7 linked regions of the Macaca fascicularis genome follow. The protein of the gene in region 7 interacts with the protein of the main gene of each other region in a biochemical or structural test. Links are inferred from orthologs where the notes say so. Each region holds a gene or a part of one and is shown on either strand. Other genes may lie near its edges. The genes, in order: RARA, PPARG, HNF4A, SMARCA2, EID1, ESRRG and NR0B2.

Evidence for each region.
Region 1: the proteins of NR0B2 (region 7) and RARA form a complex in vitro, tested with the Homo sapiens proteins (2 studies listed by BioGRID). The link is inferred for Macaca fascicularis from reciprocal best matches to the Homo sapiens genes NR0B2 and RARA.
Region 2: the proteins of NR0B2 (region 7) and PPARG form a complex in vitro, tested with the Homo sapiens proteins (2 studies listed by BioGRID, with this or other methods). The link is inferred for Macaca fascicularis from reciprocal best matches to the Homo sapiens genes NR0B2 and PPARG.
Region 3: the proteins of NR0B2 (region 7) and HNF4A form a complex in vitro, tested with the Homo sapiens proteins (4 studies listed by BioGRID). The link is inferred for Macaca fascicularis from reciprocal best matches to the Homo sapiens genes NR0B2 and HNF4A.
Region 4: the proteins of NR0B2 (region 7) and SMARCA2 form a complex in vitro, tested with the Homo sapiens proteins (2 studies listed by BioGRID). The link is inferred for Macaca fascicularis from reciprocal best matches to the Homo sapiens genes NR0B2 and SMARCA2.
Region 5: the proteins of NR0B2 (region 7) and EID1 form a complex in vitro, tested with the Homo sapiens proteins (3 studies listed by BioGRID). The link is inferred for Macaca fascicularis from reciprocal best matches to the Homo sapiens genes NR0B2 and EID1.
Region 6: the proteins of NR0B2 (region 7) and ESRRG form a complex in vitro, tested with the Homo sapiens proteins (2 studies listed by BioGRID). The link is inferred for Macaca fascicularis from reciprocal best matches to the Homo sapiens genes NR0B2 and ESRRG.

The regions. Positions count from the first base shown.
Region 1 is NC_088390.1:61,395,291-61,399,521, reverse strand, and holds the start of RARA (retinoic acid receptor alpha), read right to left. Parts: upstream 2,801-4,231; 5' UTR 2,694-2,800; intron 1-2,693. UniProt on the Homo sapiens protein: Receptor for retinoic acid. Retinoic acid receptors bind as heterodimers to their target response elements in response to their ligands, all-trans or 9-cis retinoic acid, and regulate gene expression in various biological processes.
Region 2 is NC_088376.1:150,693,837-150,697,336, reverse strand, and holds part of PPARG (peroxisome proliferator-activated receptor gamma), read right to left. Parts: intron 1,103-3,500; coding exon 652-1,102; intron 1-651. UniProt on the Homo sapiens protein: Nuclear receptor that binds peroxisome proliferators such as hypolipidemic drugs and fatty acids.
Region 3 is NC_088384.1:100,504,392-100,507,891, reverse strand, and holds part of HNF4A (hepatocyte nuclear factor 4-alpha), read right to left. Parts: intron 2,393-3,500; coding exon 2,240-2,392; intron 1,203-2,239; coding exon 1,060-1,202; 3' UTR 1-1,059. UniProt on the Homo sapiens protein: Transcriptional regulator which controls the expression of hepatic genes during the transition of endodermal cells to hepatic progenitor cells, facilitating the recruitment of RNA pol II to the promoters of target genes. Activates the transcription of CYP2C38.
Region 4 is NC_088389.1:97,097,029-97,100,528, forward strand, and holds part of SMARCA2 (probable global transcription activator SNF2L2), read right to left. Parts: intron 1,772-3,500; coding exon 1,645-1,771; intron 1-1,644. UniProt on the Homo sapiens protein: ATPase involved in transcriptional activation and repression of select genes by chromatin remodeling (alteration of DNA-nucleosome topology).
Region 5 is NC_088381.1:25,379,327-25,382,811, reverse strand, and holds EID1 (EP300-interacting inhibitor of differentiation 1), read right to left. Parts: upstream 2,197-3,485; 5' UTR 2,150-2,196; coding exon 1,583-2,149; 3' UTR 501-1,582; downstream 1-500. UniProt on the Homo sapiens protein: Interacts with RB1 and EP300 and acts as a repressor of MYOD1 transactivation. Inhibits EP300 and CBP histone acetyltransferase activity.
Region 6 is NC_088375.1:74,484,874-74,488,373, forward strand, and holds part of ESRRG (estrogen-related receptor gamma), read right to left. Parts: intron 2,682-3,500; coding exon 2,266-2,681; intron 1-2,265. UniProt on the Homo sapiens protein: Orphan receptor that acts as a transcription activator in the absence of bound ligand. Binds specifically to an estrogen response element and activates reporter genes controlled by estrogen response elements.
Region 7 is NC_088375.1:208,192,553-208,196,785, reverse strand, and holds NR0B2 (nuclear receptor subfamily 0 group B member 2), read right to left. Parts: upstream 2,801-4,233; 5' UTR 2,765-2,800; coding exon 2,233-2,764; intron 910-2,232; coding exon 668-909; 3' UTR 312-667; downstream 1-311. UniProt on the Homo sapiens protein: Transcriptional regulator that acts as a negative regulator of receptor-dependent signaling pathways. Specifically inhibits transactivation of the nuclear receptor with which it interacts.

The sequences.
Region 1 (4,231 bases), on a different chromosome or scaffold from region 7:
GTAGGCTTCTGTAAAGACAGAAGCCTGGAGGCAAGAATGGGCCATGCCTGCCAGGCTGGGCATGTGCTGCCCTCAAGCTGAGTCAGAGGCTAGGAGGGAGAAGCTGGGGTGCTACAGTGCCAGAGGCTACTGTGCCCCCACCCCTGTCCCACCTGGGATTTCTGACACCTCCCAGCCCTAGGGGAAGGCCCTCCCCACACAGAAGGAAGGAAACCAGCTAAGCGACTCTCTGGAGCCCTGCAGGGGAGCCCTGCACCACAGGCGGGTGGGAAACCCAGGAGTCCTGGCGCCCAGCCCAGAGAGAGTGAAATACCTTGGAGGGGAGGAAACAGCCCAGATTGAGGCAGACATGTGGCACCCCAGAAGCTCCCAGATGTGACCCACAAGGAGGTACTGGCCAAAGGGTCTAGAGGAGGCAAAGTGAACACATTTCTGAACAAGAAGAGAGAAGAAAGTGGGGCTATGGGAATGGGGTGGCGGGGGTCAGCCTGGCTCATCGCTGTCCTTTCCTCCTTGTCAGAGTCAGAGACACTGACATTAAGGTCATCAAATATCAACCAGGTCCTCAGGACCTTGGTGTGTTTCCTCCTCTCCTAGTCTCCAGACCTCAGCCTGTTCATTCCTGAGCTTCCTCTGGCACCCCTTCCTTGGGGCCAAGCCAAGTAAGAAATCAGCAGGCCCAAGGTGGTGCTCGGGAGGCCGGGGCAGTGCCAGGGGCAGTCCTCATACCATCCTCCCACTGGCTTCCCTCCCGCCTGCTCTTAGCCGCCACACATATCTCAGCTGTCGAATCCGATTAGGGCTCCTGCCCAGTGAGCCGGACAAGGAGGCCACTGGGCAGGGGAGAGAGAGACAAGGACGCCAAGCAGGGATGGCAGAAGGAAGGTGGAGACATGGCTCAGGGGAGCAAGTATGGGGCCCCAGAGGAAGAAATGCCTGGTGGAGAGATCTGTACTCTGTGACCACAGGTGCTCTGGCAACAGCTACAACCTGCATTAGGGGAATTCTGCAGTACCCAGGGCAATAGCCCTGCCTGGTTCCTCCATCCCCCAGATGGGCAAAGGATGGGGGAAGAAAACTGAAGGCAGAGAGATTGACCTAGATTTAGGAAGAGGATTCCATCCTAGATCCCCCCAGCCATTACTACCGTTTGCAGTGAGCTTTATGATACATTCTCTGTATGGTCTTGGTGGCAATGTCCCTGCTTGCTACTGATAGCCATTTTTACAAATGAAGAAACTGAGGCTTAGCAAAGGGGAAGACATATATAAACACACATAGTTAAGTAACCAGGCTAAGTCTCCAGTTCAGTCCTCTGATTCCCAGTCCACTGCTCGCAGTCAGAATCTCTACTTTCCTTCTTGGATCAAGACCAGAGGGAAGTCTGAAGCCACTCCATTATCCACCGTGTCCTCCAAAACCAACCTTTAGGGGACCCAGGGAGTCATGGAAGAATGCAGAGCACACCCCACACCTAGACAGAGCTACCAGATGGGGACATGCCACCCACTCCTACCACACACTGAGAGCTAGAGGAGTTCCCTCAGTGTGACCAGTCTCTTCTATCACCCCCTCCCCAGTCTACTACCCCCAGAAGCAAGATACACACTCACACATGGTAACTCATACAAGATGTACACCCTTCCTGTAAACCCACCAAACCAGAATGACATGCCCTAGATCTTCAGAGAGCAGGGCCTGTCTGCCCACCACAGGAGAGAAAAATAAGCCACTGTAAACAGTAGGTGCCATCTAGCCCTCTCCCAGAGAGCCTGTAGTGGGGCAGAAGCTTGGGGACCTCGTAGCTCTAGAGAAACACCAGGAGCCTGGGATTCTGAAAGCCAAGGAGCTCAGGAAGCTGGCAAGGCTGGGTGACCTCCTCAATCTGGTCTACACTCCCTTCCCTAGCCATCTGGACTGAGCCTGTTCTGGCCTGGGCCACACTCTGGTATCCCTCCCCTTCAATGCATGCAGCCACCTCTATCCAAAGCTTCTAGCTCTTACAACCACATTGTCTCTACACACACACACACACACACACACACACACACACACACACACACGGGTGGGGTGGGGGCTTCTGCAGCAGGTGTTGAGATGTTGACAGCGATGGGGGCTCTAAGCTGAAAGAACTTTCCTAGAGGAAAAGGTCACCAAAATGCTCACAACCTCCACTACCCTCCAGCAAAGCCTTTAGCCACCCAAGTGTGAGATGAACCTGGAAGGGGACATTAGTTCCCCTACAAGGTGAGTAGGGAGTGGGGGCAAAGTCCTGAGTTCTTTGGGCGAGGAAGCAAGAAAGAAATCCCTCGGGGAAAGCTCAGGTCTCTCTCTGGCTCTCTCCTCTGTTACCCCAGCACTTGCCAATTCTCCAGTCTAGGTGAGGTGGGGGAAGGGGTATTAGGCAATACTGCAAAGGAGGGTGCAAGGGCGTGGGGCCTGGGCAGACCTTCCCCCTACTCCCCACTCTTAGCTAGAGACCGGGAACTGCCTCAGGAGGAGGGTGCAGGGGGCTCTGAGCTTTCAGACACCCCACTGTTCCCAGGCTCCCACCTCCCAGGACTACAGTGAGCGACGGGAGAGGAGGGATGGGGAAAGCCAGAACTGGCGAGAGGGAAACGGCTAGATCAGAAGCAGAGGCCAGGGTCAAAGGCGGCCAAAGAAGAATTGGGAAGGGGTGTGCATGGTCCTACCTGCTCAGGTGTGTGCTGGCAGGGGGGCGATGGGGTTCCCAGGAGAACCGGGGAAGCCCTCTCAGCTCGATTCAGGATTCCCCCCTGCTTCTGGGTTAGGCTGCTGCAAGAGGCACGGGTTCCCGTTGGGTCCTAAAGCCCACTCGTCAAGCAGAAGGCTCTCCCCGCCCTCTTCCACTGGGTCAGCCGGCGCAGAGCGGAGGACTGATTGGGAAGAAATAACCCACTGGAAGAAAGATGGGCGTCTGGTCGTCGGCTGGGGACAGGAACAGTTCCCTGTCTCAAATACACAGCATATGGACAACTTGAGGATAGGATGGCATGAAACAGGAGAAAGTAGACATTTCTTCCTGCCTGCCCTGAACAGATGGATTTAGGTTTTGGTGCTGGAGGTGGGGTTAAGATCTCTTTCCCTGCCACTCCTGCTAAGGCATTCGGCTAGAGGTTTTGGGAAGGGAGCATTCGTTTGGTTGGGCGCTCACTTTTGTCCTCTTCCTCATGGACTGCAGGAGTCCCTTCATCCCTCCCAGTTATTCCCAAGTGCCTAGGATGCCATCCAGGGGGAAAAGAAAACAGATTTTCAGCATGTAAAAAGTGCAGGCTCACTTAGATGGCAGCTGGAAACAGGGGGGAAAAGGTAGGACCAATGTATGTGTACCTGGGAATGTGTGGGGTCTGCAAATGTACATATATAGGCAAGAGTATAAACAGGTGGGGTTAGGGAAGGAGAAAAAAACAAAAAAGGACTTTGGGTTACATCTATTACTGGAAATGGTGACTGGCAGTGGAAGAACAGGATGCAGAATCTAGAGGTCAACTAGTGCCCCTACCCAGCCCTTAGTAATGTCCCGAATCTTTATGACCAGAATAAACAAGTTAAAGAGAGAATATTTTCCTAGATACCATTTAGGATAAATCTAGGGGCAGAGGGACTTCAATACAACAGATCAACTTCAAGGTCAGTGATTCGGTTTAGTATAGCCAGTCTTCTCAGTAGCTCAAAAGGGAGAATTCAGGTTTGGTGGGCTACATGGGCAAGAGAAAGGTGGATAAGAATTCTGAAGTTGTGGATTGAGAACATTTTGCAAGGAGAGTTGCACATATCTCTAGCAGCAGAGCAGGGAAAATGTCATCAGGGGAAGGGCCAGAGGAAGTCAGGGACAGACTTGAGGGGAGAGGGCATGGCCTTTGCCTAGAAGGGGAGAAGACACCAGCAATGCCTCCACCTCTTTCTGTCTTGCAGGAAGAACTGAGTAAAGGAGCTGGACTAAGGATGGAAGGCCCCAGGGTGGAGTCCATGGGGTGAGTTTAGGTCAAGCCTTTCACCCTAATGTGCCTCAGTTCTCTCCCAGCTGTTAAACAGGGCTCTTCGTTCTTCCCAGGCAGTTAATGAGTGTTTACAAAAGGGTTTGGAGATCCTCAGATCTCAGCTGGGCCACCACTACAGTTATAAAGTTCAATAAGAGCTGAGTGTTATTTGGGGAGGAGAGAAGTAGGGGAAGAAGAAAACAGACTACTCTCTTACAGACTAAGGATAA
Region 2 (3,500 bases), on a different chromosome or scaffold from region 7:
TACTTGCAGGGCCAAAAATACAACAAATTGCTAAATAACTAAATTTATTTCTATGTTGTGTGTTCGGTTCAGATTGCATTCTTAATCACAACCAACTACCTCACAAAGGTATTTTGAAGGGAAGCCATCAGAGGAATCCACACAAGAGAGTGGGTGGAGGTCAGTAGGTATGCCTTAATTCCTGATATCACGAAAGCAATTCAAAGTAGTATCTTACTGTTGGAAGGGCAGGAGCATGATTTGACCAGAAACACTTAGTAGTTCCTTCTCTACGTCAAGTAAGCATTGTCTTAAGCAAAGTTATACATGCCATTACTTACAGGAACCAAAGATTAGATTGGCCTCTAATCTTCCTTTCTGGAAAGGAAAGAAAGAGAGAAAGAAAAGAAAAAGAAGAGGGCATTTGATTGGAAAAACTATATTGTTGAGGGAAGAAAGAGAAGATCCTGGGTTACTCATAACTTTCATACTGCAAACTTATGATACTCTTTCTTGGTACAGTGTTTTGCACGTGTAGAGGTGATTCATGGCATTATGCCATTGGCACTTAAAGCGACAAAGAACGCAGACTAATAAGGAAATCCAAAATTCTTTTGGCCATCCCACCATCATCCCACCCTCTTTCATAGAGGATCAAAAGACAAATCTTACCTCCACTGAGAATAATGACAGCAATAAATATTGCCAAGTCGCTGTCATCTAATTCCAGTGCATTGAACTTCACAGCAAACTCAAACTTGGGCTCCATAAAGTCACCAAAAGGCTTTCGCAGGCTTTTTAGAAATTCCCTTGTCATGAAGCCTTGGCCCTCGGATATGAGAACCCCATCTTTATTCATCAAGGAGGCCAGCATTGTATAAATGATCTCATGGACTCCATATTTGAGGAGAGTTACTTGGTCGTTCAAGTCAAGATTTACGAAACCAGGAATGCTTTTGGCATACTCTGTGATCTCCTGCACAGCCTCCACGGAGCGAAACTGGCAGCCCTGAAAGATGCGGATGGCCACCTCTTTGCTCTGCTCCTGCAGCGGGGTGATGTGTTTGAACTTGATTTTATCTTCTCCCATCATTAAGGAATTCATGTCATAGATAACGAATGGCTGCAAATAAAACAGGGAAAACATGGGTGACTTGGAGATTTCTAACTTAGTGAATGCCATCCCAGTTCAGAAAACTGTTTCTTTATGTAAACTTGCTTTGCTAACTAAAATCTTTAAAGCTGAAGATGCTTAATAATGAGAAAATACTCTCAAGTTCTTTTATTCATCTTAATTATCTTCTGGGACCAAACAAATTTCACCAATTTTGGTCTTCTTTCCCTTTAATTTACACTGTAACACTTTACCTATGACTGGCTAAGAATCCCAATTTCTTTTGTTTGGGGAGTCTTCACTGTTGATTTTTATATTTATTTATTTATTTTGTTTGTTTTTGAGACAGAGTCTTGCTCTGCTGCCCAGCCTGAATTACAGTGGCACAATCAGGGTTCACCGCAACCTCCACCTCCCAGGTTTAAACAATTCTCATGCCTCAGCCTCCTGGGTAGCTGGGATTACAGGCACACACTTTCACGCTCGGCTGGTTTTTGTATTTTTAGTAGAGACAGGTTTTTACCATGTTGGCCAGGCTGGTCTTGAACTCCTGGCCTCAAGTGATCTGCCCGCCTTGGCCTCCCAAAGTGCTGGGATTCCAGGCGTGAGTCACCATGCCCAGCCAATTGTTGATTTTTAAAATGATACAAAATCTACTGTTTATCTTGGCTTTCAATGAAATACACTTTTAACCTTCTTTCAATAAAAAATCATTTCAGCAACTCAGGGTTGAAAATACCCACTTGAACATAAAGCAACTTTAGAGGCTTAAAACAATTTTTTTTTCTTAAACTTTTTTTTTCCTTTTCCTTTGTTCTCCTTCACGAGTAATAACTTTTCAGTTTTAGATGAAATCCTCTCAGATCGCAAATGAAACTATGTGCACATAAAATATGCTTAACTATTAAAAAATCACTCTGAAAGCAGATTAGAGCTATTGAACCAAGAAAATGTCTATTTCTTTTTTTAATGCTCTGGAAGCCATCTATTTCACAAAGAGCAGATATAGAAGGCCTATAGGTGAATGCTGCAAAAAACAGTTTTGAATTTACATTTTAAAATATCTGTCCTTACAGGTCAATCAATAAAATACATGCCCCAGTTATTTAAGTTTGCAATAGGCTGCTTTCAAAAGTTAAGTCATTTGGTCATGACATTATCTCTCTCTCACTTCCCTTGTATAGAACTAACCAAAGTCTGTAGTCATTGAGAAATTCTCAAGGCTGCTCTAAGGGGCAACATTTTACTTACACCGGATACACTGAAAGACACATAAGGAGTTAAACCTTGAATCCTGTTCAAATACTTGTATACCTGAAAGCACTGGAAGAAGAGCTGAGGGTATCTGCATTCTAGCTTTGGTTCTGTGGTGAACTATGCGACTTAAGAAAAGTCATTTACCTTTCCTAGGCCTTAAATTTCTCAATCAGGGGTTTCCACCTCTTCTCCAGAGGAAATTCTAGTTGTATTTCTCAGAAGCAGGATGTGTGTGGGGAGTGGGCATGTGTGTGGAGAGCTGTGAGTGTGCATGCACAACAAACATGAAGTCTCTGATAGACTAAAAGTAAACACTGTTTTGAGCAGAGATGTTGAGAATTCTCTCCTGAATGGGCACAGAGAAGGTGCATGAGTGGCCGTGGCAGCTGGCTTCAAGATGCACCGGTTGGAGATTCTATTCATATCTATGGAACTCTATGATTTTCATCAAAAGATTAAGTTTGTTCTATACTGGAGGAAGTAACACCAACATTAAGGACTCTCAGATGTTAAATATATTTCCAAACTTGTACGTCACGTCAACACCCTTTACTGGAGTTATTCTGGAAGTTTTTACTTTTGTTACAAAAAAATTCACTTCAACTGTACTACTTACCAAACTCCAAAAGGGGACAGATGTGAGGACCCCAGAACAGGTTTACCTGGTGGCTCTAATTTTTCAAGGGACCAAACTGTCCGTACCGTATTTCTTAAACATTTCGCTTGGGTGGTTTTTTTCCTTTTTCTTTTCTTCTTTTCAGGATTAATATTATTAATGGGAGAAATAAAAGGGGGGCAGAGCAAGTAACATCAATGAAAATTTACTGTATTTTTCCAGAATGTCAGGTTCTAATTATGAGAAAAATTTGAATGGATAATGATGCTGTCACAGAACCTAGAGAAAACGTGTTTCTTTGTTCTACAGGCATTTTATAGTGTATTATAATATATATTAATGAAATACTGACTTTCTTTTTCTAAAAAAAAATTATTTCATTTTTTGAGATGAGGTCTTGCTATGTTGCCCGGGCTGGTCTTGAACTCCTGGGCTCAAGCAATCGTCCTGCTTTGGCCTCCCTAAATGCGTGCTAGGGTTACAGGTGTGAGCCACCACAACTAGCCTTTATTGGCTTTCTTTAATGTCATGAGA
Region 3 (3,500 bases), on a different chromosome or scaffold from region 7:
GGAGATCATTCCTCCTGGATGTCACTCTGATGTGAGAGTTTACCCATCTTGTCCTCTCCAGCCCCAAGCCTCATTACTCTCACCCGCATTACATCATCCACCCCACCTGACCTCCCAGCTCCCAGCCTCCCATCCTCTACAGAACTGCTGTGTTCATTTTCTGGAAGCCCAGCTCCCTGCATACCCCTTGCCGCTGATCAGGGCCTCAGCCTGGTATTCCAGACCCTATGCTCTCCAGCAGGCCTTCTCTCTCTTCATCATCCCTTTCCCACACCATTCTTCCTCAATTCTTGCTAGATTCTTCCTACCACGAGGCCTTGGCTCAGGCTGTTCTTTGGAATGTCCCATCTCACCCGCTCTACCAGCCAGAAGTCTACCCTTTCTCAAAGGCCTAGTGGATGGTCTGCCTCCTTCTGATGCTTTTCCTCTCCACTCCAAGTTCCTGTTGCAGTTGCCAACCTGGGCTTGTTTTCTCGGGTTGAAGGTCTGCAGAGATCCTCACCCCAAATACCCACCCAAGTCCCTGAAGAAGGAGGGTGCGGTGGGGCTGGAGGAGAAAGGTGTCTTCCCTCACCACAGCCTTCTAGATCCTGCCTGGCCCCAGTCAGTGCTTACAACATGCTCCCAGAATGACTGGGGGAATCGTTTTCAAGGCCTCCTTGGCCTCTGGAGAGGTGGTGCTGGAGAAGACGGGATGGCTGAGCAAGGCGACAGCAGAGGGAAACGGGCGTTTGAGGTGGGGGCAGCAGCAGAAGGAGGAGCGAATGGATGAAGGTGAAGGTGAAGGCAGTGGCTTCAACATGAGAAAAGTTGTCCAAGGCAGTAGAGGACTTTCCAGTGGCGTCTTCCCAAGTGAAAGTCTCGTTATCCAGAGCAGAGTGTCAAGGGTGGCAGTGGGATGTGGCCCTTAGGCCATGTTCTCGGGCCCTTTATCCTTCCCATTCCTGCTCTGGGACTGGTCCTGGCGTCACGTCTTCCTTTGCCGTGACCACGTGATCACCAGGCGTTCTCTGAGGGGGCTGGGGGGAGCCAGCGGAGCCCCCAAGCCCCAGCGGCTTGCTAGATAACTTCCTGCTTGGTGATGGTCGGCTGGGGGATGGCAGAGAGGGGCTTGACGATTGTGGCGACGGCTCCTGGCAGGAGCTTGTAGGGCTCAGACCCTGAGCCACCTGGCGGTGAGGGCTGTGGGGTCTCAGGGGTGGCTGGAAGGACAAACAGACAGATAGGAGCTGCTCAAAATTCCAGCCTTTGTGGGAGTAAATGAAGAGCCCTGGGAAAATTCTCCCCCCAACCCCCAGCCCGCCCCGCCTTGACTTAATTTCTTCCTCTATAAAATGAGAGAATTAATTAAACCAGATAATCCCCAAGGTCTTTTATGACTCAACCTTCTGTGAGTCCCAGATCATAAAGCCTAAGTTTTATGAGGTCTGGAAGGTCCCACCACCCATCTCCTCCATCATTTATTTGATATGCAGACTTGAACTGCTTCTCTGAAACCAAGGCCCAGGCCTGGCTGTCACCAACGGCAATGGGATGGGTGACAGGGATATTCTTTCCTGGGAGAAGGAGCCAGCAGCTGATGAGACCCAGGGCCAACTGGCTCAAAAAATACCATTTCTTGGATATTTAGGACATGAGTAATAGAAACTGGCCTCACTCTCATGGCAGGTTTGGAGAGCAAATTTGACCCAATTGGCAATCTTTGTTCAATGGACAACTTTCTCCAAGAACAACGTCAGTAAAATATCATCTCATCTCAGTGGATCACTTCATCCCATTGATAATCTTATTCTTTGAAGAGCCTTGCCCAATGACAAGTTTACACTTTGGAGGTTTCAGAGGATGGTCTAGTCCAGCAGACATCCTGACCCAATGGATAGTCTCATCTAATTGTTTAATGGATAGCCTTACCCAATTGAGCAGCCTTATGTCAATGATCACTTTTACCTAACGGACAATGTCAACTAATGGGATTCTCACCCAAGAACATCTTCACCCAATAGGTTACTTCATCCAGTGGATTGCCTCATCCCAACAATGGCTTCATTCAGTAAAGGTTGTCAGTCACCTTACTGAATAAACAGCCTCAACAAATGGACAACCTTGCCCTTTATTCCCTACCCTGGAACCCAGAAAATTGTTGCATCCTGGTTCTACCTTCTAGACTCCACCTTCTCCTGCTTCCTCTCTTAAGCCCCATCCTCACCCTTTGCAAGGTAGAGCCCCAGAGGTTGCCCACCTGCCTGCCCCCTGGGTCGGGGCCACTCACACATCTGTCCATTGCTGAGGTGAGTGGGCATTGTGTTGGCAACGATGACATTGGTTCCCATGTGTTCCTGCATCAGGTGAGGGTGCAGGGGGTGGTGGGCATGGGGTGCATCGCTGGAGGACCCTGCAGGAAGAGAAGATCGATCAAGATGAAGAGTCTGGGATGCAGACCTCAGGCCTTGGGACGCCATCTTCCTCAGGTGTGACCAATCAACCTGCCCATCCAATATTGGCAATGCCTGTTGGGGACCTATTCCTGGGTTAGTAAACTAGGGTGTACCATTCCCATTCGTAGGCTTCATGAGGGTGTTAAGAAGGCCCCAAAAAACCAAGAGAACAAAAGTGAGTTGAAAGAAACAAGGTGCCTATAAGGAAGCTCTGAGATCAAGTAAATGTTCTAATGAGTAGCGTATTGGATGTAATCAATGGCTCTCAAGGCTCCTTGGCGTGCAAGTCCTTCAACCATTTGGTCCCGCCTCACCTTCCAGCCTCATCCCCCACATCTCTGCTGCAGCCAACTGACCTACTTATAGCATCTATGTGTCCCCTGTGTTTTCCTATCTCTATGCTTCTGCTCACGTTGTTGCTTCCGTCAGAGATGTTTTTTCCACCCCAAACCCGCTCCACGTCCATAAGCCCAAATCCCAGCTCATATATTTCCTCTCTTTAGAAGCCTCTCCTGATTCTCCTCGTTCTCATTCCTTGGATTTCTCATAGTAATTTATCTGTAACACAACTTTTAGGAACAACTACTTCTTCTGTCTATGAGCATTACAATTTCAGATGTATTTTTCTTCTTTCTTTGAGAGCCTAGCAGATTGTCTGGAACACAGTAACCGCTTTAAACATGTGTCAGGGAGTAAAAATACCACATGGGGTATGGTTTAATAATAGCCTATGGTGAGTAATATGACAATGATGGAATTTCAATGCTTGTAAGAGATCTCTACAGCACATCGATCTCAGTGATAAATAACGACTGTTGATAATTAACAATTACCATGTGCCAGGTACTGTTGTATAGCACTTTTCATGTTTTACATAATTTAATCCTTACAACAATCCTATAGAATGGATACTATTATTACCCCATTCTACAGATGAGACAACTAAGCCCAGAGCTCTTAACTATTTGGCAACAGACCACAGGCTCCTGATCCTAATCTCAGTGACACCTGATTCATAGTAACCCCATGTTCACAGGGTCAAAGTGAGAATGAAATAAGCTATCA
Region 4 (3,500 bases), on a different chromosome or scaffold from region 7:
TCTAATTATTCTAATGATACTAATTAGCTAATAAGCTTTTTAAATTTTTCACTTTGTTTTAAATGTCATGTTAACATTCTCTTTGTGTTTAAAGATTAATTTTAATGATGCTCCAAAAAAAGAATAAAAGAATTACTTTCACGTATGGTAGCAGCAGGTACTCCACCAACGTTAATTCATAGTCTCATACAAAGGATGGGAAATAAGAGTTTTGGCTTCTTCCCACTCCAATAATAATATTCTTTCCAAGAGAGCTACATTTTGTATTATATCATGAACTTATTTTAGATCATCACAAATGTAATACTTTTATCTGTATTGCATGCTATGTGGTGGTAGGGGGTAGGGACTGGAGAATACACATTAAATAATCATTCCACTGAATCTGAAATCATCATTAGTTACAGTTAATTTAATTGGGAAGCTTCATAAATAACAGATTTTTAAAATAATATCAAACAAAAATCAGAAACCAATAAGAATCCAGCACAGCAATGCTAATTTGAACATAAACTTATTCCTGAAAACATACTTGGTTAATATTCATTTAGTGAGATTTTATCCAGCACTTTATTAATTCATCTTGTGAGGTCACCAATAAGAAAGAAGTAAACAGAACTCAGAGAATTTTCCCTCTTCTTTTTAAAATTTAAGCTGAAATCTACTCTCACAAACCAAGGGCCAAGTAGCACCTACTCACCACTAATGTCCATCTGTGATATTATAGCCAGTAAGGCAAATATACACCCAAATTCCTACAATAGCAAGAGGAGTGGCCTGTGATTTTACTCGCATCCTCCAACAGACCAAGTCAATACTTCCAAACTACTTTTACTCATTAATCATTCATTTTGCATGTTCCAGGCTTTAACAAAACAAACCCATCTGACTAACAATGAAAGGCTCCTTCTCCCCTTTGGCTTAGTGAGGCAATCTGTGGACTAGCAAACTTGAACATTCTGAGTCCACAAGGCAAAACTCACCAAAGTGAAAAGTAGCTCTAATTCATTCCACTAGTCTCTTACTAATTTAGAAATCAGAAAATAGGTCATTATACTGGCTTTTAATAACTAGTGTAATGACAAGATAATTTACAGATTAGTCACTGTATGAGCCTGATGTGATTAAACACTCCAAACTCAGATATTGGTGAATAAATAAGCTGTAAGACACTGTTTTATGTATTTCTATAAATGATGAACTAATTCAGTAGAGTGGCTATCATATTTGTTAAAATTCTTTTCACAGTCGTGGCTAGCACTTAACATCTGTGCTTACGAAGAAGCTCCACTCTACTACCTTCTGGTTTTTCCTTGGAGTCATAAAGGCAAACATGAGCTACCCCACTTGTTCCCAAGGTTTTTCATCCATGGTAACAAAATGCCATAACTCTTGACTTTGTAAACCATAGTACAGGAGGAAAAACTCTTTCCCATATACAGAAGAGAAAACCAGAATAATAAGCAGTTCATCTTCATTATTTTTAGTTGTAAGCTGTTGGTCTAAAAGATTCACTATTTTACTATGTTTCTCTCTTTATATCTTTATAACAATATCGAATAGACTAAAGGCAACACAGATAACACTTTAGGAACAATTACATTTATTTCCTACATCTCAGATTCACTGGGGAAAAGGTATTACCTGACGCTGGAAATTGAGTAACCGAAGTGCTTTTAGTTCCACGGTTGCTTTGGTTCGTAAATCTGGTGGCAAAGAGCCAGGCAGATTTTCCAGTTCTTGTATCCTATGAGCTATGCGGGCCTGAAGTCTGAAGGAAACAATAAAACGGGGAAAAGGGGGCAGTGGAAAAACACATTACAATTTAATGTTACATGATAAACAATGACATCAGGTTTAAGTTCAGGGCAAAACATATTCCAGATACTGATAGTTGATTTCTGACACCCAACTAGAATTTTTGATGTTAAGCAGAGAAAAGCTACCTTTGTATTAATGCAGACAGGTATATGTTAACTTAACAATGTGGCTTCCTCCATAACCCCTATCTAACACCAGGGAAAGAGGGTTCACCCTGTATCTAGTGGGGAAGTCAAATGTCCTTGCTCGCTCTTAGCAGAGAGAGAAATGAGAGACAGAAACAATTGACTCGCTTCCTAACTCCCAGCCAGACAGAATGCAGAGCTGAGAGGACACACTTTTTTCTAACTTCTAGTTCTGTCCTAAGGCAACCGGACCATTTGTCTTCTTTGCCAAGATGCCGATGACGAACAGCCATTAAAGCGGAGAGAGCAAGAACGGTTTTAGGTGCTGATGCCACAGAAATCAGCCAACCCTAAACATTCAGAAAGCGCTCTGCCAGCCACAGCCACTTCCTCCGTGAGCAGAGCTTGCTTGAGAAAAGAAAATACAAATGAGGCTGTTTTTAAAAAATCAGGGCCAGCAGTAAATAGTACTCAAAAACCAAGAGTTTCTAGAAAAGGATGTTGAGGATTCTCGTTTTACACACCATCAAAAATATAACTGCATGTACTTCCGCATAATAAAGGCAGAGTAGAAAATAAAAGACCTCTCACTTTAGCCATTCACTTGGGATACTATTACTGTTAGATATATAAACTGCTGGTTTTAGAGTTCACCTGAATCCTATTCTGACAAATAATTATATGCCATTTAAGCCTGTTTTTAGAACTACATCCCCTAAATTTGAGGCAAACTGTACTGAACTAGATTTCAACAAAGAAAGAATAATGATAAAATGAGTAATAAGTTAAACTAGGTTAATATTAACAGAACTAAGTGCCTTTAATGCATAATTTTATTTAATTGTCTCTCTCTTACACACACAGACACGCCTCTCTCTATAAGGTAAATGTTATAATGGTCCCATGTTACTGATGAGGAAAACTGAAGACACCTGGAGATACCACAGAGCTAGTAAAGAAGGGGGCCAAGACTGGAACCTCAATTTGCCTGATACCAAAACCACTGCAATGAAACGGTAGATAATTAAAATATACTTTCTGAGAACCTTCCTGGACCTCAACTATAAAAGTTGAAAATTAAGAATTCTGTTTAAAATTATGCACAGCCATTAAAAAAAAAAAAACAACCAAATCATGTCCTTTGCAGCAACATGGATGCAGCTGGAGGCCATTATCCTAAGCAAATTAATGCAGGAACAGAAAACCAAATACCGCATGTTCTCACTTTTAAGTGGCAGCTAAACATTGGGTATTCATGGACATAAAGATGGCAACAATACACACTGGCGACTACTAAACGGGGGAGGGAGGGAGGGCAGCAAGGGTTGAAAAACTTTTAGGTACTATGCTCATTAGCTGAATGATGGGATCCATTGCACCCCAAACCTCAGCATTATGCAATACACCCATGTTAAGAAACCTATTCATGCATCCCCTGAATCTCAAATAAAAGTCGAAATTATCTTAAAAAATGAATATTACAGTGTTTTCCAAACATGATGGTGTTGCCAGACTACAGAGCTGAGAGGACAGACTTTTTTTCTTTCTAACTTC
Region 5 (3,485 bases), on a different chromosome or scaffold from region 7:
TCCACCATCTCTCCCTCCCAACCCAGCTAGTGTCTGAACAATTCTGATCATCCTTGTCACAGTCCTATCTTTTACAGATCTCTCTCTCCCCAAAAGGCAGGATGACCATAAAATAAATAATGCTCTGAATTGTCCTGTTGCATTGGATATTTGTTCTTTACTGCTATAATGGAGCAGAAGCATCTGGAACCTTTTTACTGATCATGATAAAACCTGCTGATATACTCATTTTGCTGAACATAGCCTTCTGATGTAATCATTACTCTCCTAGAACCTCAGCATCTTAGTAAGGTAACCATGGCAACATACTCATTGATAGGGCAGGTTTTCCTAGACCAGCAAATTCTTGTAGGGCAAAAACTTAATTTACAAAGTTTAATTTCCAGAAATTAATTTGTGAATTAGATAGCTGAAGCTGGATTATTTTCCCTTAATACTGGTTAACACATACAATAAAAACTAGTATAAAGTATGTATACAATATTATTAGCCAAACAAAATACACAGAACAAGAAATTTTATTATCTCCAATGCTGGTGCATAACAAATAACAAGCTTAATTAGAGGAGGAGACAGAGGGAAACTTCAGATACCAAGGTAATTTCTGGGTAGGTTTAAAACCTTTAAAAGTTGATAGAATAACTGTTCATAAAGTCTTTTTAGATATAGGGCTTTTTACTTGACAACTTTTTATTAACAGTTCTTACAATATGAAGTTCAACTAAAGTATTTCACCTGTCAAGTTAAAACAGCAAGCAAAACAAAATTTCTCTAGTATATAACAGCGTGAGCAATGGTTTCTTTGTACATTCACACACATTTAGTGTCTAGATTTGAAAGTTTTTAATTAAAGATGTCTTAATTTTTGACTTTTAAAAATGGTTATGACAATGAATTTTCTTGATTTATATATCACAGTGGCTTTATAAATGATCAAGATACATGTACAAACAAAATTTCAGACGCTCTTGGAAACACATCTTAAGATACAGAGCACACGTGATACATCTTTGAGTTTACTCATCCTTTTGGAATAATGAAGAATACTTCATTTGTCTTACACTGAAAATTTAGCCTTTGATAACTACGGCTTGACTAGATCACAAAATAGAATTTCCCAAGTTTTCTTAAACTTTCAGTCCAAATAACTCAAAAGATATGTGTCCTAGTTGGATACATTTTTTCTCATTATATAATTAATATCAGTGGGCTCTTGTATTGGCAGTTTGTCTTGGTCATGACTTATTCTTGCAAAACCATCTTTACAGCAAACAAATATGAAAGATATTTTCCCCAATGCAAGGAAAATAATCTGGATCAATAACAAAGTCAAAGCCATAGGTGTTTTAGCACATTCTTGATAACAGATTTCAACGGTCTTAAAATCTTTTTTCCTTTTTCTTTAATGATTCTCCTTTTTCACAACTGTGCAGTCACTGTCCTATTGTCTTCTATTCTGAAAAACAAATTTTTTTGAAGGTCAAGTTTTTCAATGGCACAAAACTATTTGGAATGAACCCAAAAGATAGCGGAAAGTTGGGTCCCTCCTCAAGTAGTTTCCTCCTCTTTTAACAGCATGTAACTACTCTCTATCAATAATCTCATCACAGCCGAGTTCTTCGGTCAGACGATTGACAACCATCAGTGAAAAAAGCTCTTCGATAAAAGCTAACTGATCAAACGGGGTCTTCTCATAATGCATCTGAAACCCGCCATCCAGGGCTGCTTCTCTTGTTCTCAGAAACATCTTGTCGGCTTCTTCAAGAGCAGCTGATACTCTGTAGCCGGCACCACTAAGCTGCTCCTCTTCGGGATAGTCGTAGTCGTCCTCCCAGTCATCAAATTCCTCGCCCTCGTCCTCGCTCTCGAAGTCTGCGCCCGCCACCTGGCCTGGCTGCTCCCCAGCGTTGGGCCCGTTAGCAAGGCTCCGTTTCCCCTCTGGCGCCGCCATTGGCTGGGCCTCCTCCTCCTCCATTGGGCCTTCCTCCTCGAGCTGTGGCGGGGCCCCGTTGCGGGAGGGACGCAGGGATAGCTCCCGGCTCCCGCTGCCTACCTCCATCTGCGGTAGGTCACCCTCGCCAGGCATCACATCCATTTGCAGGTCACTGCTCTCTTCATATAGCTCGGACAACTCGGCCATTTCCGACATTATGCAAACCGCTCAACCTCTCGGAAAAAGCTTCCAGCAAGATAGATGCTGCGCGGCCGTGCGTTTGTGCGCGTGCGCAAAAGCTGCGCGCTTGCGTAACCCCGCGCGCAGGCGTGGTCCTCAGGTACCGCCTCCTGCTTGGCGCGCCACTGTGGTTGGAGTAGCTCAATGTTTTTCCCGGGATGTGGGCGTCGCTTTTTGAGCTAAGTTTCCGTCGATTCGAACTTGGTATCTAGGGACCCTGTAGGCAAGAGCGTAACAGTTTCTGTGTTACTTAACCCTACTGTTGCTTGTGATGCAGCAAACTGGAAAATAACTTTACATGGCCCTCCTAACATTAATGTGCCTCCCCTCCCTTCTTCCTCCTCCCCAGGGCAATTTATCTATGTGCTGATGACTTCTAAATCCACGTTTCCAAACCAGACAACATCCATAACCACAGATCAGCATATTAAGAACTAATCCATTCTGTCCTTTTAGTGTTGTCATTTAAAAAGTTAAATTCACAAACGACATATATATTGTCCTTTTTTTTTTTTTTTTTTTTTTAGTTATAGCGAAGAAATACTTGGTCCCATTTCTTTTCTCCGGGTAGGTATTTTTCCACTATTACCAACGCGGCGTGTACTCTTTAAATTCTTTTTATTTGCATTTACATGTATCTTTATGTATTCATAGCAAAATACTATTTTGTGTGTTTTTTAAAAACATGTTTTACCTGTCTTCAACTTAAAAGCGTCTGCTTTTAAGTTGTATATACTTCTGTGAATTATATGACTGTGTATACTTAAGGATTCAAGCACGTTTCATTTATTCTGCACTTTATTTCTATTATTATAACATTGTAGTTACGTAGAATTATACAACTCACCATAATGTAGAATCAGTGGGAGCCCTGAGCTTGTTTTCCTGCAACTAGACGGTCCTGCAACTAGACGGTGATGAGACACAGTGACACCCAAGGTGTGTTCCTTATGTCCAGTGGATTCTGTAATCTCATTTTGGTTGCTGTTACTGTGGAAAATCCTGCCTCACAAAGATAGGATGTTGAAAATGAAAGGAGACTTTTCAGTACTTTTGTGGCAATCTCAGGATATTCCGCCTTGACTTTAATCGAGAACGTATGGAGATTTGAAGTTGTCTCAAACATACTTTTAAGGCCACCGCCATTTGCAATATCAAGCAGTTGATCCTCTTCTAGCATGGACAAAGTGGATTCACCTGGCTTATTCACAAATGGGTCACAGATCCATTCTGTCTTTTGTGGATGGGAAGTGTGATGGTTAATACTGAGTGTCAACTTGATTGGATTGAAGGATACAATTATTTATCCTTG
Region 6 (3,500 bases), about 130 Mb from region 7:
CCAGATTAATCTTTTAAACTTTTGGCCTTAGGGATCCTCCAGCCTCAGCCTCCCAAAGTGGTGGGATTACAGGCATAAGCCACTGTACCTGACTAAGTAAACATTTTGATTGTGTTCTCATCAGCCACAGATCAAGGAAGTTATGTAACAGACAACAAAAAAGCAAGGGAGAGACAGTACAACCAATTCCACTAGGGATTGTCACTAAAATGCTCAGTGCAACTGATGGAGAAGAGTTGGATTTCCAGATGCTCTTAAAAGGGAAGGTGGGCCGGGCGCAGTGGCTCATGTCTGTAATCCCAGCACTTTGGGAGGCTGAGGCAGGTGGATCACGTGAGGTCAGGAGTTCGAGACCAGTCTGACCAATGAGATGAAACCTTGTCTCGACTAAAAATACAAAATTAGTGGGCCGTGTTGGTGCCTGTCTGTAATCCCAGCTACTTGGGAAGCTGAGGCAAGAGAATCACTTGAACCCAGGAGATGGAGGTTGCAGTGAGTCAAGATCATGCCATTGCACTCTAGCCTAGGCCACAAGAGTAAAAATCCGCCTCAAAAACAAAAAAGAAAAAAAAAGGGGAAGGTGGGAGACTGCTCTATGTACACATAAGCGTTTTCAGAATCATGTTTTGTGGAAATATTTAAAAGGATTAGCACTTAACAAACATTACTTCTTTTGTGCTTTGAAAACTAGTACATCACAAAATTATGAAGGCTCCAAATAAATTGGTTTCAGTTCTGCCCAACAAGGGGCCATTAGATGATGATGGTCTATGGTCAGTGGTAAATCAGCAGTAGCATGGTCTAGAGCAGTGGTTCTAAATTTGAATTACATCAGGATTACACAGAGGGTTGGTAAAATGCAGATTGCTAGACCCACACCCAGAGATTCTGTTTGAGTTAATACAGGATGGGGCCTGGGAACTTGCATTTCTTACATTTTCTCAGATGATGCTGGTACTGCTGGTACAGCCACTGTGCTTTGAGAACTGCTGTCAAATAATACAACACAGTACAGTGCAGTGGTTCTTAACTTTGCCTTTACATTAACCATCACCTAGGAAGCTTTCAAAAATCCCCCTTTCCCTGGCTGTACCCAAGACCAATTAATTCAGAATTTGGGGACATGAGCCCTGGCATCAGCATGTTTTTTTAAGTCTTCCACTGATTCCAATGAGCTGGCAAGTTTGAGAACCACTGATATGTGGGAAGATAGACTTCGTGTCCATAACTGGTTGTTAGGAAGACACATTTCATAAACCACTGAACAGAACCATTGGTGAGCTGTGGATCCTCAAAATATATGTTTTTCCTTCCCCTATTTTCTTCAAAAGTGAATCACAAGAGACCTAAAAACGTGAATTTTTTTTGCCAGAATATATATATATATATCTATAGCTTTTTAATGAACTGAATTCTAGATCTGTAGATCACCAGTTTAAAAGGGCATAAACAAATTTCAGTCCTATTTTTCTACACTATATGGGGGAAATAATGTTATTTATAAATCTGAAATCTATGAAGTTTGGGGTATATATCACTTATATATGTTGGAGGTACGTTCTATCATTCGATGACATTTTGTTGACATAATTTGGAAATTTTTTACATAAATTCATTTAAAAGTTAGAATAAGTATAGCCAACCACAAGGAAAAAATAAAGATGAGTAGGTAATTAAATTGGTCTAGAGCAGTGATTCTTAAAATTGGTCCCTGGACTGGCAGTATCATCAACATTACCTGAAAATTTATTTAAAATATACAATCTCAGGCAGGTCCCCACTCCAGATCTAATGAATCAGAAACTCTGGAGGTAGGACCCAGGAATCTACATTTTAACACGATTTTCAGATGATTTTAATGCACACTCAAGTTTGAAAATCACTGGTCTAAAGTATTTATTTCCATGCATCTGTAAGAAGATCCAAAGGGGTCAAAAACACTGTTAGTCCAATGTGCATTTGTACAGTTGCTCTATAGACCCACATTGCTCTAATAATAACTATGCGCTTATAAACTCTACCCAAAGTTTATTATCCTTGCATCATTAAAGCTTAAGAGTAAGAGGAAAATTAATAGATATGGAGTATATCTGGGGGGATTTTAGTCTATAAATCTTCCACTATCAATTGTAATCTATTTCTATTTTCTACTCGAGAGAGAATTAAAACTATGGTACTTGACTTATGAGAATAAGAATAAGGAAAAACAAAAACTCATCACGTGAGGTTGGAAGTGGGGAGAGTATTCCCAGGTCCGACACTAACCTTGAATTGTCCTCTTGAAGAACGCCTTGCAGGCTTCACATGACGCTACCCCATAGTGGTACCCAGAAGCGATGTCACCACACACTAAACACAGTCTCTTGGGCATCGAGTTGAGCATGTATTCACACTTGGTCTGGGGATCTTCAACGATAGTGCTGGAGCAGTCATCATACAGTTTCCTGACAGGACCACTACCTCCCAGGATAGGAGCAGAAGGGTAGAGAGGTGGCGAGTCAAGTCCGTTCTGATGGCCATTCATGGTTGAACTGTAGCTCCCACTGGCGTCTGATGAGCCACCAGGGCTGTGGTGGTTGACGCTGTCCGTCAGGGAGGCCGGGCTGGAAGGTTCCGTCTTGATGAAGGACGAACAGCTGGAATCAATGTGTCGATCTTTGTTTGACATTCTGCAGAGAAGCCTGAGATTGAGGGAGATACAGAGAGAGAAAGAGGAGAGAGTGTCAAACACAGACACCAAAAGAGGTAGAAACAAAAGAGATGGTGAAAAAATAGAGAAAGGGAAAGGGAAAGGTAAAAGGAGGAAAAAAAACATTCATATGTTTAAAAAATTCATATGTTAAAGACATTGCTCTTTGAGAGTGTTTCCTAAGGGCTAGGGACTACACATCATTCATTCTCTAGTCAATACTTCTTGTTCTACAAGAAGGTAATCAGCATAAGGGCATGACAGGGTTACAACAAGGGGCCCAGACAGGCCATAAACAAAAGCTCTAAAGGGTCCAATTGCTTTCATTTTACCTTTCTCTTGGAGAACCAGTGTCAATATCTAAATCAACTCTAGATTCTAAATTTATCAATGGAAGAGGTGGTGATTTGCAAAGTCTATACCATTTCTAAAATTGTATTTATCCTCACTCTACCTTTCCTTCCTCATTCTGATGCTGCAATCATTTTATTATGAGCGGAATAAAACTTTTATTTTCAAGGCTGAACAGATGATTCTCAGCTCTGTAATTACTGTTTGTCAGCACGCTTCCATAAGCATAACTGTGTCTTTTATTGATCTGACTAAAACACATAGGGAATATATCCTCAATCACTTTGTTTCTTTATTTAAATTGCTCTATTTCATAGCCATTTGGCAATATAGAAAGACATCAAGTATAAAATTAAAGCCAATATTTAAAGATTATTTCCTAGAGCCTGCAAAACTTAGTGACTGATCACTAGCATTCATTAATAAATGCGTGCATGTGTTCATGCACATTCACATATGC
Region 7 (4,233 bases):
CTGTTTCAATTCGGGAATGGACTGCTTCCTGATTGGCTGTGATTGGGCTTTAACTGTGGTGAGAGGGCGCATGAAGTGGGTAGGAGCCAGGAGAGTGGTTAGTGAAGGGTTTGGGAACAGGAGAGCAACCTCCTTCCCCTGAGGATAAAGGCAATGAGGTGATGGGATTGTGAACTGATACTGTTCCCTGGAAAATTAGTTCCAGCAACCCTGTGGATTTTTTCCCTTGGGCTACCTCTGATAGGAGCAGGGTGGGCCCTGGAGGTGAGACAGTCCCTTCTATATGCACAAACAACAGTATCAGGCTCCAAGTGTTTCATACCTTTTATTACAAAAATCAATAACTTAATTCAGTTCTGTATAAAGTCAGTAGGACTTCTGGTCCAATGAGCAGCTTAAGCTTTCATTCCCATCCCAACAAGGGACAGGAGTCTTGGCCCAGAGGCTGTGGGGACCACCAAGAGCCTTCCAGGCAGCTGGAGCACTGTGTCCAAACCAAGGAAGTCCAATGTGGGGTGTGGCTGAGTGAAGGGCTGTTCCTAAGGAGCCAAGTGCTGTCTATACAGCCTTGCCCCCTCCGGGAGCATTGGGTCACCTCTGGTGATGGCCAGGCTGAATCAGCACTGCCAGCCTCTGCCCACCTGATCTCTGCCTGGGCTACAGCTGGTCACCTCAGCAAGAGCATGTCCCCAAGAAGGCCAGCGATGTCAACATCTCCAATGATAGGGCGAAAAAAGAGGTCCCCAAGCAGGCTGGTCGGAATGGACTTGAGGGTGGAGGCTGTGAGGAGGACACGGGCCAGGCGGCCTTGGGCTGCTGGGCACCAGGGCTCCAGGACTTCACACAGCGCCCAGTGAGCCTCCTGCTGCAGGTGCCCAATGTGGGAGGCGGCTTGGAGGCCTGGCACATCTGTGGGCAGAGAGGGAGAAGAGGGTTGGTGAGCATCCTACTCCCAGCCACCAAAGGAAGAGACTGGCCCAAGATCTGGGCCATCAGAGACACCCCTCTGCCTCCTTTGCTCGGCCTTTGAGGTCCCACTACTACCTCCTCCTTTGGAGGAGGTAATTTATTTATCAATTTCCATTGTATTCATCCATCCATTTATGAAGAGGCAGTATGGAGTAATGGTTAAGAATCAGGTTTCCTGAGTATGAATCCCAGTACTGTCACTTAGCTGGGTGACCTTGGGCAAGTAACTTAATCTCTGGGCTTCAGTTTCTTTATTTGTAAAACGAGGATAATAATATTAATAGGACCTGTCTCCTAGGTTTTTATGAGATTTAAATGAACTAGTATATGTAAAACCCTTAGAATAGGGCCTAACATATGGTAAGTGTGATATGAGTATTTGCTACTATTATTGCAATTAACTACTACGATTTATGCGTGCCACAGGGACTCCTGGGGAACGCTCATCTCAGATGCTCTCCAGATTACAAAGAGCACTGTCTCATCTGCCACTCTCCTGGCCAAATTCCACAAAGACTCCCTTCCTGTCCTCCCTACACCCCTTTCAGTTCTCTCTTCTAAGTGATCTTTCTGAACCCACAGAGGAGTTTCAGCTCTAGAGCTTCACCATGCAGCCTTCCTTTGAAGATGTGACTGAGACACAGCTGTGTCTGCCCACCCCACCTCCCCCGCAGCCTTCTCTAAAGGTCAGAGCAAATTTCTCAGGCAGAGTGGCAAGGGCCAGTCTCTGGAGTGAATAGACCTGAGTTGCCATCCTGGTCTGTCCCTACCTGGCTGTGTTACCTTTAGCTCGTCACTTAGCTTCTCTGTACCTCTTCTGTGAGATGGCTATTTGATGAAAATGAGGAACCGGCCAAGCACAGTGGCTCACGCCTGTAATCCAGCACTTTGGGAGGCCAAGGTGGGTGGATCACCAGAGGGATCAGGAGTTCAAGACCAGCTTGACCAACATGGCGAAACCCCGTCTCTACTAAAAAATACAAAAATTAGCCGGGAGTGGTGGCGGGCACCTGTAATCCCAGCTACTTGGGAGGCTGAGGCAGGGAAAATTGCTTGAACCCAGGAGGCAGAGGTTGCAGTGAGCCAAGATCGCGCCATTGCGCTCCAGAGTAGGTGACAGAGTGAGACTCTGTCTCAGAAAAAAAAAAAAAAAAGAAAATGTGGACCCCATGAGATTACAGATATCAAACCCTTAGAAGTTACCTTCCCTGGCTGGCTCCTGCTTCAGCCTTGCCCCCTACCCAGGAGTGTCTGGGAGCTCACCAGGGTTGAAGAGGATGGTCCCTTTCAGGCAGGCATATTCCTTGGGGCTCAGCTCCAGGCCCCAGAAGGACTCCAGACAGCACTGAAGCCACTGCACTGCAGCCAGGGAGGGCTGGGGTCTGTCTGGCGGCTGGCCACTGCCTCCACTGCTGCTGGGCTCCTCCAGTAGAATCTTCTTGAGTATGCTGGGCACCGGGGCCTCAGCCACTTCAAAGGTCACAGCATCTTGGGCCAACCCAAGCAGGAAGAGGGGGCCCCAGCAACCCTGCAGCAGCCGCCGCTGGTCCTGGGGAGGCAGCTGCCAGAAGGATGGCAGGTTCCTGAGGAAGGCCACTGTCTTGGCCAGAACATCCAAGGCCTCCCGGCAGGTGCGATGAGGTGCACATAGCTGGACGGGCCGGTGCTGCCTACATAGGCAGCGGCTACGGGGTCGGGGGACAGCCCTGAGGCTGGAGCTCAGAAGTGCGTAGAGAATGGCTGGGCGGCTTGCAGCTCCCTGGCATGGGCAGGCCCCTGGTTGGCTGGTGCTCATGGTTGGGATCTGCCCTTACTTCCAGCTCTCTGGCCCTCTGTTCTGCGCCGTGGGTGCTATTTATATTCCCAGTGAGTGGAAGGGGGGGAATGGCCCGACAACCTTGACTCCAGAAGTCATGTTCATTGAAAAAAACACACAGACACTGCCCCTGGCAGGAATGGTGGGGAAGTGGTGGGGGAGGGGGCATTGGGAACCCCACGTGGCACTGATATCACTTCAGTCAATGAAGTGGCCGGTGCAGGGCACAGGGCCACCTGCCGCTCACTCAGCTGCCCCTTATCGGATGACTCAAGTGGATAAACAAGGTCATTAACCCAGGTTGTACCAGGGCACCAAGGCCCCAGGTGCACAATCAGCAGGTGTCCCCATTGGTGCCTGCTCTTGTGTGCACAAAAGACTAGCGCTTTCGCTAAGCCAGGAAGTCAGCCCCAGAGCTGGGTGGGCCTTGAATGCAAGGCCCGACCTGGAAGTGCCTTATCACTAGCTTGTTTGCCTAACCTTGGGGCCCTGCTTCTGTTGTCGGCCAGGAGCAGGCTACAGGGAAGGGAGCCAGGACCCTGGGGGGGCTGGGAGGACTTTGCCCGCTGTCCAGTCTCGGAGGCCCCCTTCCTCTGGTTTCAGTTCTGGGCCCCCTGCAGGAATAAGGTCCTTCAGAATCCCTATCCCCTGCCTGATTCCTTTTTTTTTTTTTTTTTTTGAGACGGAGTCTGCTCTGTCGCCCAGGCTGGAGTGCAGTGGCCGGATCTCAGCTCACTGCAAGCTCCACCTCCCGGGTTTACGCCATTCTCCTGCCTCAGCCTCCCGAGTAGCTGGGACTACAGGCGCCCGCCACCTCGCCCGGCTAGTTTTTGTATTTTTTTTTAGTAGAGACGGGGTTTCACCGTGTTAGCCAGGATGGTCTCGATCTCCTGACCTCGTGATCCGCCCGTCTTGGCCTCCCAAAGTGCTGGGATTACAGGCTTGAGCCACCGCGCCCGGCCTTTCCCTGCCTGATTCCTACCACTCCTGAAAGTCCAGTCCTGCTGAGAAGAACTCACAGAGTTATAATAAAAGATAGTTGCCAGCTGGGCATGGTGGCTCATGCCTGTAATCCCAGCACTTTGGGAGGCCGAGGAAGGGGGATCATTTGAGGTCAGGAGTTCAAGACCAGCCTGGCCAACATGGCAAAATCCTGTCTCTACTAAAAATACAAAAATTAGCCGGGCATGGTGGCATGTGCCTGTAGTCCCAGCTACCCTAGAGGCTGAGGCAAAATAATCACTTGAAACTGGGAGGCAGAGGTTGCAGTGAGCTGAGATCATGCCACTGTACTCCAGCCTGGGCAACAGAGCAAGACCCTGTCTCAAAAAAAAATGTGTGTGTGTGTGTGTGTGTGTGTGTGTGTATATATATATATGGTTGCCATTCTCTGAGCACCTGTTACGTGTCAGGCACTTCCCACTCTAATATTGGCAGCCTCCTTCTAA